4 linked regions of the Xenopus tropicalis genome follow. The protein of the gene in region 1 interacts with the protein of each later gene in a pairwise test. Links are inferred from orthologs where the notes say so. Each region holds a gene or a part of one and is shown in the gene's direction. Other genes may lie near its edges. The genes, in order: deup1, esrrg, txlna and tbc1d22b.

Region 1 (3,567 bases):
CTAAAAGGTAACTTTGTAAACAACCCCTTTAAGATTGCTCTTTGAAAAAAGTCACCACCCTCACGCTGGGTCAGATCGGGATGATCAGATTGTTTGGCCCATGGGTCATCAACTGGACCTCTTGTCTATGGTGGCTCATCTGGTGAAGGGTGTCATGAAGTGAAAGACCCACATGAAGTGAAAGACCCAAATCTCCTTCTCATACTTGTCCCGGGAGGGGAGCCCCTCTGGGGTTCATTTATAAAGCCTGGGCAAATTCACACCTGGGCAGTATCCCATGGCAACCAACAAAAAACTTTTCAACCAGCAGGTGCCTGAAAAAAGCTAATCACTGATTGGTTGCTATGGCCAGGTGTAAATTTGCCCAGTGTTAGTGCAGTTCTGAAGGAATAGGAAGAATTACTGAAACAACTGTTGCCATGAAACACAATATATTTTTTTTTACATCACTTGGAAAAACAAGCTCTGAAGTGCTATAAAAAATAATTGGTATTTTATAAATCGTAGAGCCATGAACCCCCTAGGTAAGCGATTATGACTGATGGGGTCTGGCTATTAGGTTTGCAAGGAAGGAGTTTGTATTTATGGAAATTGCGCCAGTTGGTTGCCCATAGCAACCATTGACATCTTTGCTTTTTTTAAAAAACTTATTTACCAGAATAAATGCTTTGGATGTTGCTCTTACCCGATCACCTTTACAGATGCTGATATCAAATAATATAGCAGTCAGTAGGCACGATCACAATTGTTTTGCCCACCGCATTTTAGTATCACAAACGGGCAGGTCCTGAGTTCAGTACTCTGGGGCAGTGACTGATGCGAATAATGTATAATCTCTATAAAGCGCTGTGGAAATGGGTCGGCGCTATATAAATAACAGGAAATAATAAACAGGCTGAAACTGGCCCCTATGAAAACTGCCTGATTTGCCCATGTTTGCACTTTCAGTCAGTTCTCATAAAGGGTAAGTAAAAGGCAATGTGATTCTGAGTAAGAGATAGACAGCACTGTGATATAGACATTACTGCAGTGCAGTCCATTTCTTCCATGTAGCTGACCAGTTATCCAATAAAACACTTTCCAAGATACCTTTTGGAACAGGCCTGCAGTTGGTCAGCATTACTTTAGTATAAATATAATGAGAAATAAATGTAAAGATTAGTTTACATGCATTCCCCTAAACAAACATTATTGCCCAACTCACTGCGCTGATCCTAGTCACAATGAACAGATCATGCTGGCAGCCATTGAACTGGAGTTGGCATACCTAGACATATGCATTTTTCAACCATTAAAATTCTCCACCCAACACATATGTGAGCAGTCTTTGGCTAGAATAAGAAATTATTTTGTGCAGCCGGTTGCTTATTCAATCAGAAGCGACCAAAATGGCCCATTCTGCCTTTTCATATATTGATGTCTGGGCAGATGGATGCAAAATAATGGTGGTAGTGACCCAAAAGGCCATGTACTTTCCGTTCAGCAGAATAGAGACTGGAATAGTAATTGGAGAAAAATAAGTAATAATAATTACAATAATAATACAATTGTAGCCTCACAGAGCAATAGGTTTTTGGCTGCTGGGGTCAGTGACCCCCCATTTGAAAGTTGGAAAGAGTCAGAAGACGGCAAATAATTTAAAAAACTGTAAACAATAAATAAAATGCAAGTTGCTTAGAATTTGTCATTCTCTTCTCTTTGGCATCATCGTACTGTTGGATCAAGGCCGCGGGCACAAGTGGCACACATGCCAGGCAGATTGATAAAGTAGCTGGAGTCTCAGAGCACTAACGGATATAGAAAGTAGGGATGCACCGAATCCTAATTGGCATAAGCTAATTACGTTTCTGAAGGTTTAAAATTTTCAACTTCCATGTTTGCTTGACAAAAAGGTCACGTGACTTTTCGTATTCAGTTCGGCCAAAAGCGTGGATTCGGCCGAATCTAAATCCTGATGAAAAAAGCTGAATCCCGAACCAAATCCTGGATTCGGTGCATCCCTAATAAAAATGACTTCCATCTGTAGATATCTTGGCCAAAATATTTTTTACAGAAATCATTGTCTAAAATCTTGACATCTTGGTTGGGAACTTTGTATAATGTGCTGATGCCATGGCAGCATCAGATGTTTAGGAACTTAGTGAACAGCACTATTAGAATGTGCTCGATTGGTGGATTCGAAAGTACCAGATATTAGATTAGGCAAGAATGAGATTGAGTCAAATAGACATCAATGGACGGTAATGAGAGTCAAGTTAAGGTGTTTGACCACCGCTGTTCTCTACCCGATGGCAGTGATGCCACGTGTCCCATCAGCCTTTGGGGAGAAGGCTTGTTGGCTCTTCTAGATGCTCTTGGAAGCCCAGATTGATGGATAGATTGAGATTTGGGGCAAAACATGCATTTGCTGTACTAGATGTTCTTGAATCTGTTAATGATTCTTGTTATGAGTGATGGGTTCTGAGCCCAAGCTTTGCCCCTCAGAAGGGTACTGAGTAAGAAAACAGTCCAAAAACCTCTACCTTTAGGTTTATTTGTATTGTTTGATATATTTGTAGATAAATTCAATCCATAAATCAGTCAAAGCTTGTAGGTATTTGTCTTCCTGTTACATGGAACAAAGCAAAGCTCAAGAGACAGAGCTTAGCTGAAGGAAAGAACATTGGACCCTACAGACAGACCAAGGGAAGTTCTAAGTTTGCCTCTGTAATACAATTTTTGCTGTTCTGTGCACATAATAGGATTTATTTTGTACTTCATCCCATTTTTGCTCACGCTGGATCGCTTCCAGCTTAAAATCAGATTTTTATTCAAGAACTTAGATATCCAGCAGAACATTTCCATTAGAGGATTTTTGTGATTTAATGGAAACCTTTCCTTTGGCTCCCCCACGTTCTATATTTACTCCCCGGCTTCTCATCACATCTAATAATTGTGGTGGCGCAGTTACCAGAAGCCGTTCTTCCATTTCATTTGTCTAATTGATTCTCAGTATGTCGTTACAATTGCAGGGTCACAAAATAATTCTGATTTTATGTGTCGTCCTGGTAGAAGGAGTCGCTGAGCTATCAGGAGCAGCTTTCCAGCCAGAAGCAGCTGCAGAGTGAAGCAATTACCAATAACCAGTCTGAAATGCGACGACTGCGGTGCCTGCTTGATACTTCCCAGGAGACCATCAGGAGTGACGGGGTCATCATAGAAAACCTCAAGTCTACTGTAAAAGAAATCACATTAAGCAGGGACTCGCTGAAAGATGAAAATCAGCAGCTCTTACAGGAACTAAGGAGATGTCAAAAGCAGTCCCAGGTAATGGCCGGATAGATGGCGGCACGCAGCTATCATCTGTTGATCTGTCAAGCGAAATAATAACGTGTCATTTACCCAGCTATCAGGTTACCCGAACAGTTCCGTGTAAATATGGAAATTATTATGAAGAGTTGCTGCCGCAGTTATATCCGCTATCATGTAGGAAGATGCAGAGCTTTAATGGCCACCCTCTAGTACAGGGATCCCCAACCTTTGTTTACCCATGAGCAACATGTTAATGAATAAAAAGCTGGGGAGCAA
Region 2 (3,567 bases), on another chromosome or scaffold:
TTTTCCCTTTGTCCAATGTAACCGTTTCATTGCCGACAGCCAAATAGACCTTTATCTATCAATAAAAAAAAACATTTTTACTGCCCCATGCCTATTCTATAACATATGTGATCAAAAAACCAGAAAGGGTTTTTCGTTAAGGGTTAAGAAGAGTTTAGCCATCATGAGGGCATAAATGTGCTGAAGCAGTGACCGGGATCAGATAAGTAAAAATCGTTTGGGCTTTGTTTTCCCTTTGTGTCACCTTAATGCTTTTCCTGTGGTCTTAAGTCCCTTTTAGCATTTGCATATAGTTGATGATAGATCAGTGCTTAATAACATGCTGATCATTAGATACCTGTATGTCAATAACACGCTCCCATGCTATGTGCCATTGACAGTCACACCGTGCCCCTCCATCTGCTTTTGTTTTGACCCTTTCTTTGAACTTTATCTTGGTGGCTGGCCAGTCATTTTCCCTTTAATTACAAGAAGGAAACTGTCAATAAAATCTGTTAAATGGGATGCAATGAGTGGCTTGAATGGGCAGACGGCTATTTGTTCAAATTCTGGAGCATTCAAGGTATTGACAGTTTGTTTTCTGGGGCCATATGTGGCGATCAATCTCAGGCTGGGCTCAGCCGCGCTGAAAAATGAAAAACCAGATTGCTTTTGCCGACTTGTGGATGACGACTTGTGATTTGGTGCAACCCTACAGAGCGGAGACCTTCTGCCCAAATTGCCCCCCAGAGAGATGGAAATGTGTGACGGTTTATAGAAATATTGTTTTTAATTGATTTTGTGATTAACAGTTCATCTATAGCATTGTCGATGGTCTTTGATAGAATCAGTTTTTTACAGTGCTTTGTTACAGTGTAGTTTATTGTGTATTTGTATAGTTTATCACAGTGATCCCCAAGCAGTGGCTCAGGGGCCAACCCCTTGGATGTTGATCTCAGTGCCCCCAAACCAGGGAGTTATTTTTGAATTCCTGACTTGGGGGCAAGTTTTGGTTGAATAAAAACAAGATTTCCTACCAAATAAAGCCCCTGTAAGCTGATAGGGTGCATAGAGGCTGCCTAATAGCCAATCACAGCCCTTATTTGGCTCCTCCATGAACTTTTATGGTGCTTGTGTTGCTCCCCTTTTTATTACATTTGACTGTGGCTCACAAGTAAGAAAGGTTGGGGATCCCTGGGTTATCATATGGATTTCTGTATAAAATATGTAGCTTTGTTTCCTTGGAGTGTGCCCAAACATATTTAGAAGTTGTTGACATTCTCACACCTACATATTTTGGGATATTGGTCAATGAACTTTTGGAGTATACTATGCAGTTTGGTCAAACATCCCAATGACCCAATTGACTTTGGGGTGCTTGATGGAATCACTGCAGAGGTAATGGTGGCTGATGAACCCCGTAGGGATCACTAGTAAACTGCATAATCTATTTAGGGTTGAAAGATCAAATAGGAATGAAATTTAGCGATGAGCGAATTTTTTCAGCAGGCATGGATTCGCAGCGAATTTCTGCATTTCGCCATTGGCCAGGGCCGGAATTAGGGGTAGGCAGAAGAGGCAGCTGCCTAGGGTGCAATGATTAGGGGGCGCCAGGCAGGAACCTCTGCTGCCTACCCCTAGTCTGCTCTCTTTAGTTATTGCCCCTGCAAGAGTTCATTTTTATTGACCAAATGGTCAATAAAAAGGAACTCTTGCCACATTCTGAAGCGCTTTAAACTTGAGATTCATCCATTTCATTGAAGCACAAGCTTTGCCCGGCATCAGTGACGCCAACGAATATGCCATTGTATTTGTTACAGTGGAAATATGTGGTAATGATCTTTATAAATAGGAGGTGATGGTGGGACATGGTTAAAAAAGCAATTGTATTACAGGTATGGGATCCCTTATCCGGAAACCCGCTATCCAGAAAGCTCCAAATTACAGAAAGTCCGTCTCCCATAGACTCCATTTTAATCAAATAATTAAATTTTTTTCAAATTGATTTCCTTTTTCTCTGTAATAATAAAACAGTACCTGTACTTGATCCCAACTAAGATATAATTACCCCTTATTGGGGGCAGAACATCCCTATTGGGTTTATTTAATGGTTAAATGATTCCCTTTTCTCTGTAATAATAAAACAGTACCTGTACTTGATCCCAACTAAGATATAATTACCCCTTATTGGGGGCAGAACATCCCTATTGGGTTTATTTAATGGTTAAATGATTCCCTTTTCTCTGTAATAATAAAACAGTACCTGTACTTGATCCCAACTAAGATATAATTACCCCTTATTGGGGGCAGAACAGCCCTATTGGGTTTATTTAATGGTTAAATGATTCCCTTTTCTCTGTAATAATAAAACAGTACCTGTACTTGATCCCAACTAAGATATAATTACCCCTTATTGGGGGCAGAACAGCCCTATTGGGTTTATTTAATGGTTAAATGATTCCCTTTTCTCTGTAATAATAAAACAGTACCTGTACTTGATCCCAACTAAGATATAATTACCCCTTATTGGGGCAGAACAGCCCTATTGGGTTTATTTCATGGTTAAATGATCCCCTTTTCTCTGTAATAATAAAACAGTACCTGTACTTGATCCCAACTAAGATATAATTACCCCTTATTGGGGCAGAACAGCCCTATTGGGTTTATTTCATGGTTAAATGATCCCCTTTTCTCTGTAATAATAAAACAGTACCTGTACTTGATCCCAACTAAGATATAATTACCCCTTATTGGGGCAGAACAGCCCTATTGGGTTTATTTAATGGTTAAATGATTCCCTTTTCTCTGTAATAATAAAACAGTACCTGTACTTGATCCCAACTAAGATATAAATAATCCTTATTGGATGTAAAACAATCCTATTGGGTTTAATTAATGTTTTATTGATTTTTTAGTAGACTAAAGGTATGGAGATCCAAATTATGGAAAAAACCCTTATCCGGAATACCCTTGGTCCTGAGCATTCTAGATAATGGGCCCTATACCTGTATTTGAAACTGTTGAAACTAGTCAGTTCTTTTTATGTATGGACTTAACTAACTGATTGAGTAATAATCACTTATCATTTATTTTACAGACTCCATGCATATAGAAGATATAGAAGCTGTCCAGAAGCTTCAAGATGTCTTACACGAGGCTCTGCAGGATTACGAAGCTGGGCAGCATATCGAAGACCCCCGTCGGGCCGGCAAGCTATTGATGACCTTGCCTCTTCTTCGGCAAACGTCTACCAAGGCCGTCCAACATTTTTACAACATTAAACTAGAAGGAAAAGTTCCTATGCACAAACTTTTTTTGGAAATGCTCGAGGCCAAGGTCTGACTAAAAGCATCATTGGTGTCCCCAGGGTGCTGATTGGTAGAATAAGGGAAAAGTAAAAAAAAAAAAAAGTTCTGGCAAATAAACTTTACTACTGAACGCAAAGCAATTGACTGCGCTGATATTAGCAGCAAGACTTTAGCAGCTTTGTCTGTATCCTGAAGATACAGGTTTTTCCTCTTCCTTTTTTGCTGCTGAAATAAAATAATAATAATAATAATAATTAAAAAAAGTCTTTAACTGCAAGAG
Region 3 (4,222 bases), about 79 Mb from region 1:
TCTTCTGCTTTTGACTTTTTAGGCAATATTTCGCCAGCTTGGCCAGCAATAATCATACTTTCATTGCTATTCAGGGGGTATATTGTAAAAACCCTACTCCACTTTTTGTTTTTTCCCCCCACACATTTGCCTTTTATATTATGCTACTCTATCTCAACCCAACATCCACTGTATACCATTCTTCCTTTAATCATTGCAGCCCAATTCTTTTCTTCTGCATAGACCCCCACCTTTACCGTCTGATGTCCCATAACATCCAAAAATTTATTTAGAGCTTTGCCTTCAGTTAATACTAAGGTACCTTAAAAGTAGTATAAATAATGCTGTAATAATTGTAAATGTGATACCATGAAAGTATACTGTGATATGGGAAAGGAGTGCGCCAGCAGTAGTCATGAGGCCCATACTACTAAGCAGGACCCTCCCCTCCAATTATTTGCCCACTGGTCACACAGGGACCCTGCGTGGTAGGCCCCTGCCACCTACCAGCATATTTATTTTATTTTGTGCCCAAATAAAAGAAATATGCCCCTTAGCATATTAGCAGAATTTTTAATTGATTATATTTTTAAAGTTTTTTTCATTTCCATGAGATAAAACTATTACATTTTCATTATAGTTGGGCTTGGCGTGGTTTTGCTTGTGCCTGCAATTGTGTCAGGCGCAACGTCCCTATGTGAGAACAACAATGCTGGAATTCTGAGGGAAAAAAGCTGCATTTTGGAAAAACAGTGAGTTCCACAGTAAAATCGCAGTTAGCAAGGCCGCATTGAAAACAAAATGGGCCACACGTTTTTGAGTGGGTGACCCCCACTAGCAGCCCCATCTTGCTAATGTCTTTGTTGCTAGGGCCACTAGGATTTTATGAAATACTGGGGGTCAATATGTTATTAGTTATGGAAACAATGTTTGAGGTATCATTATTCTTGTGACTGACAAACTAACAATGTTAATAAAAAGAAACGGTATCAAGGGCATATTATTTCAATTTAGAAATGTTAAAAAACTTTCAATAAGCCTTTGCTTTATTTTTATAAATATAACCTGTTTAAAACGAGAAAACTATATGAACAGGGTCAAATCAAGGGTCACAGTTTAATGAATCTTAGTTATATATAACAAACGAGCGCACAAAAAGGTGGTACTCATGCGTACGACTGCGCACAAACAAGGCTTATAGGGAATTGTAGTTTTTACTTTCGCGCCTTTGCTACCGCCCTATACAGTTTCTGTTTCCTTATAATCAACAGCAGCGCCGATAAATCTTGCTTCCGAACGCAGAGGTTTCCGTTAGACCCGCCTCTGAGAGCGCATTGGCCTTTAGGCTTGTTGGAGCTGCGTGTCATTGGCTAAGAAGTGTCCGGCTTGCGGCCTGGATTTGTGCCTGTGCCTGTGGCTTCCGGCAGAGAGTGAGCGTTACCGGAGCGGATGCAAGAGTGAGGTAAATCCGGTTATTAATCGTGTCCTCCGGGAAAAGGAGTCAGCGCAACCTCACTGGCAGGGACAACAACTTTGTGTGAAACAAGTGTACAGTTCAGCGCTTACACAAGGAACAGACCAGAACTACATCATTTGTCATACTGCTGCATCGCTTGAGGTGCAGCTTCCGTGTGTAGAGCGACAAGGACAACATACAAGTTTGCTGACAACAGGTAGCATGTAGTGGCCCTGCATAAATAAAACAATTAAGAAGTATAAAATGTGGGGGGATGCAAATCTTCAGTTTAGGTGTGGAGTGCCCATTATGCAGACTAGTAGTTGCCCCAAAACCTACATTAGTAAGGGTTGTCATGGCATGGGCCGGACCTGGAGTTACTCTGCACATTGAGCTATGCATATCCAATGTGCCAGCTTATGAGTTATCTATTTCTAGGTGGTTAACTACTTGATAAGTTAGTGGTTAATGCTAACAAGGTTCATTGATTGAATTGTTTTATACCTACAAACATACAGGGTTAACTAGATTCTTAAGAAAAAAACGTGAAGTTTCTTGTTTACATGCCATACTTTGCTTCTGTTACCTTTTGTTAGAAGTGAGTCATGAAGGACCAAGAACTGGAGAATGGCACAGCCAAAGGGCCTTCCCCTACCTCATCAAGCCCCTCACTTCCTCCAGCCACAGATGAGAACGTGACTACACCTGGAGTTTGTCACCCTGCTACTGAAGGTTAGTAGTAGCATTTTTTTTATAGTGGGTGTCGGATTTTTTCAGTTCTGCCTTCCAGCATTGAAGATTCAACCTTTGGTCAAGACCTTCTTTAGTTCATTAAAGTTATCAGTCATTTAGACTATTCTCTCAAGCTCCACCCTGTAGCCTGATTTTTAAATAAGTGGTATATGTGTTTACAAAATAATAAAGTAAAAGAAAAGGAAAAGGGGAAACTAAAATGGAGGGAGGTAAAAGGGGAAACGAAAAGGTGCAATAGAAGGGAGAGAAAAGTACTTCACTAACAAATGCTGTTTATATACATGAGGGATACCATTCAACTAAGCATAACTCTTACTAGCCCTTTCCCAGGATAGCCACACCCAAAGAACAGTCACAGCTAGGTTGATGTTGTATGATGACCCATAGAATTCTCCAAGTTAGTAGTGTCCTTTAGATGATTAGTTTCCCAAATAATGGTATTAAAGGAACAGTAACGCCAAAAAATGAAAGGGTATAAAAGTAACTAAAATATAATGTGCTGCTGCCCTGCACTGGTAAAAGTTGTGTGTTTACTTCAGAAAGTCTACTATAATTTATATAAATAAGCTGCTGTGTAGCCATGGAGGCAGCCATTCAAAGGAGAAAAGGCACAGGCACATAGCAGTTAACAGATAAAACACTATTGTATTCTACAGAACTTATCTGTTATCTGCTATGAAACCTCTGCCTTTTCGCCTTTTTTCCAGCTTGAATGGCTGCCCCCGTGGCTACACAGCAGCTTATTATATAAATTATAGTAGTGTTACTGTAGCAAACACACCAGTTTTACCAGTGCAGGGCAACAGTGCATTATATTTTTATTACTTTAAAGCTCTTTCATTTTTTGGTGTTACTGTTCCTTTAAAGGTGTCATGTAGGTTACAGTGTTGTACAGACTGTGATTCTCATTCTTGAACTTTATTCCCATGGTCTAAAAACCTGTTCTACCACCTTGAGGGTATGAGCAAATTGCTATTCATTGCCTTTTCGCCCTGCTGGGCATCCTTTTGTTGTTGTTCCTTTGTTTACAGTTGTTGCCTTCACTTCATACTGGTCTGTGGGTCTCCTCCTTGTCCATCACAGGTGTATCTAATTCACACAACAGCGTTAGGAGATAGACTTAAAAAGTAACTGCATTTTATGATGTGATAGCCCTTGGTCAGCTGTTGCACTGTTCCATCTGTGTTTATATTATACACTACCCTGAGATCAGAGTCACTGTTAACGCCTTAGGGTTGTGACACACTGGAAGATTAGTCATGCGCGACTTATCTCCCCGCAATGCCATGCCACCGGCTAGAATGTAAATCGCCGGTGGGATGGCACTGCGGGGAGATTAGTCGCACCACAATAATGGAGATTTGTTACGGAGCAACTAATCTCCCCTTATGTCACAAACCTTACATGATTCATAAGTTCAGGAACAACTCTGATATGGAATATTACAAAGGCCCATATATTTCCATGTCAGACAGTCAGGTACTTGGCGCGGTCCCAGTGGTCAATCAGCCTGAGCTGATATGGGTCTAAAAGGGCAAGATAGTCAGATCTGACCCACCACACAGTGGGTTCAATAAGCAATTCTGAATTTGTGGCCTGATCTCTTTAGTGTGTACATATTTATGGCCAGGTTAGCGACTTTAACTTTAATAACTTGGAAACTTGCTAGGTGAATTTACAACACAGGTGTAGAATTAACTCCGATGTAGCAACAAGTCCTATCAGGTAGGACTTGTTTTCATTTGTTTCATTGCAGTTAACCTTTCAGAGGTATATAGTGCTTTATTAATATAGCTTACTGCTTCAGTGTAAAACTTCACCTGTATTGTGAATTCCTCTTAATTAATTCAAAATTGGTGTGAATTCTGCTTTACTTTTGGTTATTACTTTTTGGTTATTACTTTACTTGGTTATACTATCAATTTTACCGATTTAAAATCAGCTGATGTGTTGCCTGGTTGTCTTACAGTGGAAGGAGCAGCTGGTAATTCTGTTACTGTATGTGATGTGTCTGAAGAGTTAAGTAGGCAGCTG
Region 4 (4,327 bases), about 100 Mb from region 1:
CTTACTAAAATATATAGCTCTGTATTTAGGATTAGTTTTTCCACAACTGTGTTTAAAACCCATGATGAAATGTTTTACACTGACACTATTTTATTTATTTCCTTCCCATAAAATATCTGTATTATTTTACCTGCTGCCTAAAATACCATTGGCAAGGGCTAAACCTTTCTAAGTACTTAATATGGGGATTGAACCAGAGGCCCCAAGCTTAACAAGACTGGGGCATAAGGATAGAACTTTTCTTACCAAAATAGGGGAGGACCAGCAATGTTTTAGGGGGCCCTGGGCCGGCTAGCAATGTTTTAGGGCAGGGGTGTCAAACTCAATCACATAAGGGGGCCAAAATCTAAAACAAAGGCTAAGTCTCGGGCCAAATTTTTTATTAATATACTTAGTAAGATAGATAGGAGTATATTTATCACAATGTGTAAAAAGTGGAGTAAGACATTACCGGTGATGTTGCTCCTAGCAGCCAATAGAAGCTTTGCTACTGTTGAAATCTGATTACTGATTGGATGCCTTGGGCAACATTACTGGAAATGCTTCACTACACTTTTTACACAGCATGATAAATATACCCCTTAGTTTTAGTTACTATGTGAGGAAAATGGAAATTGATCAGGCTGGATGGTCAGACACACTCACCAAGGGCCACATAAAACAGCCAGGTGGGCCGGATTTGGCCCCCGGGCCTTGTGTTTGACATATATGTTTTAGGGGGTCCCTGGCTACCAATGTTATAGGGGGCCCTGGCTACCAGTGTCTGTGTGTCCTTTCTACTGATGGGACTGCATACAGCTCTGGTGATTTTCTGAGTTTTGAATTGTTTTGAAATGGGTATTAGAGATGCTGAGGGTCAATATGTAGCATGGGATGCTTGTACTTCACTGAGTCTGTCATGATATACAGGTGGCACAGTGCGTAATTAAATCCTTAGGGCCACAATATGTCATAAAATGATTGGGGTCACAGTGTCTGTCTTCTGATGCACTTTGTGTATGTTATACTTTTCAGGTGTGGTTTTGTAAAATAGGCCTGTTTTGGAGTGTGGCCATAAAGTAAGCATGGGCTGAAAAATATGAAAAACATATTCTTGTCCCTCCTTCTACTTTTCAAATGTTGGGAGGTATGAAATATTGTATAAACACAAACAAATAGGAAAAGCTATTTTTTCCAGAAAATGTGGCAACTGTAACGATGCACCATATATGATTTCTCCAATTTAAAATAAAAAAAACTCAAAAAATCTGATCAACTTTGCACCAAGTTAACAGGTCTAAAATGATCTGCCATACAAAGTCCTCTCACCTCCTCTTTTTCTTACATAAACTACAAAACACAATTCTACTACATTAATACATACCGCCTGAATTAAAGTTACATAATAACCAAATCTAGAGAAAAAAAAAAACACTCTTCCGCTGCAACGGCAAAAAAAATGAATTCTACAACCTAGCGCAGAGAGTACTAAGATGGCGAAACCAAACACTTCCGGTTGATTTCCTATGAGCGCTCCATGCTAAAAACGTCACCTGAGCACCGTAGCCTCGTAGCATCGCTAACGTTCATTGGCTTCAATTGGATGATACTGTAAAATCCGCCAATTAGGAATCTCTACCCGCCCGGTTCCGTTATGGTGGAAGCGGATCCCCGGAGCGGGTGAGCACACCCTACAAAACGAAATACAGTGGACTTGCAGGATGTCAGAGAATAACCGACAGTTCTGGAAAAGGAGTACAAAGCTTCCGGGAAGGTAACAACTTAAGGCGATCATGAAAGGGAGTGTGCTTGAGGAGTTTCATAGAAAAACTTGGACAGCTTTGACTTGTAGGAAGAACGAAGAGACCAGAACATTTGAGTAGTGTGTGTTTGTGTATATGAGTTGATTTATTGAAAGTAGGAGTGGATTCGGAAAGATCAAGGAATGGGAAATTACAGTCTCCTTGTGAAAATGGCATTATGTTTAATTAAAAGATATACGTGCTAAGATGCGGGCTTGTCCAATTATTATTGGGGTTAATATGTACATGTGAGGGTTTGAGTTTATTTAATTTGACAGTAGTGACTAAGTATGCCTTTTAATGAGGCCCAGTTTACTGACAATGGATTGTTGCCGGAAACTTGAGGGAAGAACAAGGATTTCTTGATCAATGCTGGCACCTTAGGGACTGTGCACAATTCCGTTTGGTCTCATACTATTTGTCACAATGCATAATACCTTTTAGTGCATATATACAGTAAAGAGTCAAAATCGCCTTTGCAAACGTTGTATGTTTATATTGTTTAATTACACAATAATATACAACAACAATAGACATTTTTTATGTTTTGTGGGATAATGAAATCTTGACAGCCATTTATTCTATATTAAGATCATCATGTGTAATGTAATTTGCAGGAATTCAAGTAAAAATTGAGATCTTTGTTATGAAAAGGACAGAAAGCTATAAGTTGTAAGGAGCTGATATATAGGGATTTCTGGGGGTCTTTGTTTACTCATTGTTTTTATTCCGGTTTTATATGCAATGATCTTATTTTGTCAATACCTTTATCCTTTTCTCAGTATTCAACCAGTGTATGGGGCCCAGCACCCACCTTTAGACCCTCGTCTCAATAAAAGGTATACAATGTTTTGGCTAAATTTCTGTTCATATTTTTATAATGGATATTAATACCTTATCTATGCCAACAATTTAAACTTTTGTTTGTTACCCTTATTTACAATTTTTTGGCAGTTATATTTCTGATCGTTCAAGGCGACAACCACTTCATTTGAAAAGCAGAAAAGCATCTAGTTTTCATGAGTTTGCAAGAAATACTAGTGATGCCTGGGATATTGAGGATGATGATGATGCTGATGATGATGATGGAGGAGGAGATGTCCTGTATGCTTCACCCTATCAGACTCTTAACTCCAGGGTTGCTGAAGTGACAGCTGCACAAGTTATAGAGAGCCACCTCAAGCTACGGGAGGAGTCCCCTTGCCAACCTTCTGTTACAAAATCTGTCAGTGAAGATCATCTCCACAGGGTCACTGCAGGTGCGCTACTATAGTGTCAGGAGTATATTTTTTGGTTGCAAAGCATTTTTTACAGGTTCAATTTATTACATAGTGCTAAATTTTACCTTAACTCCAATACTTTTTATGATAATATAAAAACATATTGCTGAAGTTGAGATGGAGAGCCCTTACTAAGGGCTCTGGCACACAGGGAGATTAGTCGCTCGCGACAAATCTACCCGTTTGCGGGCGACTAATCTCCCCGCGTTGCCATTCCACGCGAGGCATTTTCGATGATTTGCCGAAATTGCGCTGCAGCGTCTGCCATCCCACCGACGACTTACATTGTCGCCGATGGGATAGCATGGGATGGCAGACGCGGCGGCACGATTTCGGCAAATCATCGAAAATGCCTCGCGAGGCAACTTCGGCGATTTGCCGAAATCGCCTGCGCAGCTTGTGCCATCCCACCGGCGACTTACATTGTCGTCGGTGGGATGGCAATTCGAGGAGATTAGTCACCCGCGAACAGGGAGATTTGTCGTGGGCGACTAATCTCCCCGTGTGCCAGAGCCCTTAACAGTTATTACATATAAGATGCATCAAGGAAGATTCATCTAAATGATTACCTAATCGGTCAGTGTCAAAGCAAACATTTTGTTTCTTTTGTATGTATATAAGCTGTATGTGTAAGGGTGAACTTTAATTTCCAGCAGATAATAAAATAAAATACCAGTGCTCAAAGTTCAAGGGAAAGAGAGAAAAAAGAAATATATACAGTTCAGTAATTATAATTGATATTTATACACCACCCAATAAGTACGCACATTAATTCAGGGGTCCTCAAACTTTTTAAACGGGGCCAGTTCAAGTTCCCTCAGACTGTTGGGGGGCCGGACTATAGTTTGGAAAAAAAATATCAACGAATTCCCATGCACACTGCACATATCTTATTTGTAGAGCAAAAAAGCAGGGAGAAACACTGATACGGCATACAGTGATGTCTGTGTTCTGCTGTGCCCCAGTGCAGGGGTAGAGCAGAACACAACATGGGTAACGGGTAACTATCCTATTTTCATTAAAAATACAAAATCTGTTGCAAATATCCTGTTAATGACTTTATACAGTCAGGGTAGGCAGTTCTTATTGCTTAGATCAGTATCACTTCATCTGCCACTCACAATACTAAAAATACATAATGGATAACTATGTGAAGTCATTTGAAACATCTCAGGGTAATTTTCATTTTGTTTTTCCCAACACTGCAACTTCATGAAAATTAATATTTCAGTACAGATTTACAGCAGATATAATGACATATTCTTA

The links.
Region 2: the proteins of deup1 (region 1) and esrrg interact in binary tests that used the Homo sapiens proteins (3 or more experiments, as listed by UniProt). The two-hybrid records come from large-scale screens. The link is inferred for Xenopus tropicalis from reciprocal best matches to the Homo sapiens genes DEUP1 and ESRRG.
Region 3: the proteins of deup1 (region 1) and txlna interact in binary tests that used the Homo sapiens proteins (3 or more experiments, as listed by UniProt). The two-hybrid records come from large-scale screens. The link is inferred for Xenopus tropicalis from reciprocal best matches to the Homo sapiens genes DEUP1 and TXLNA.
Region 4: the proteins of deup1 (region 1) and tbc1d22b interact in binary tests that used the Homo sapiens proteins (3 or more experiments, as listed by UniProt). The link is inferred for Xenopus tropicalis from reciprocal best matches to the Homo sapiens genes DEUP1 and TBC1D22B.

The regions. Positions count from the first base shown.
Region 1 is NC_030678.2:165,843,011-165,846,577, reverse strand, and holds part of deup1 (deuterosome assembly protein 1), read left to right. Parts: intron 1-3,051; coding exon 3,052-3,306; intron 3,307-3,567. UniProt on the Homo sapiens protein: Key structural component of the deuterosome, a structure that promotes de novo centriole amplification in multiciliated cells.
Region 2 is NC_030681.2:12,595,214-12,598,780, forward strand, and holds the end of esrrg (estrogen-related receptor gamma), read left to right. Parts: intron 1-3,076; coding exon 3,077-3,321; 3' UTR 3,322-3,539; downstream 3,540-3,567. UniProt on the Homo sapiens protein: Orphan receptor that acts as a transcription activator in the absence of bound ligand. Binds specifically to an estrogen response element and activates reporter genes controlled by estrogen response elements.
Region 3 is NC_030678.2:86,591,295-86,595,516, forward strand, and holds the start of txlna (alpha-taxilin), read left to right. Parts: upstream 1-1,414; 5' UTR 1,415-1,652; intron 1,653-2,031; 5' UTR 2,032-2,040; coding exon 2,041-2,167; intron 2,168-4,157; coding exon 4,158-4,222. UniProt on the Homo sapiens protein: May be involved in intracellular vesicle traffic and potentially in calcium-dependent exocytosis in neuroendocrine cells.
Region 4 is NC_030678.2:65,166,618-65,170,944, reverse strand, and holds the start of tbc1d22b (TBC1 domain family member 22B), read left to right. Parts: upstream 1-1,488; 5' UTR 1,489-1,700; coding exon 1,701-1,753; intron 1,754-2,563; coding exon 2,564-2,620; intron 2,621-2,735; coding exon 2,736-3,040; intron 3,041-4,327. UniProt on the Homo sapiens protein: May act as a GTPase-activating protein for Rab family protein(s).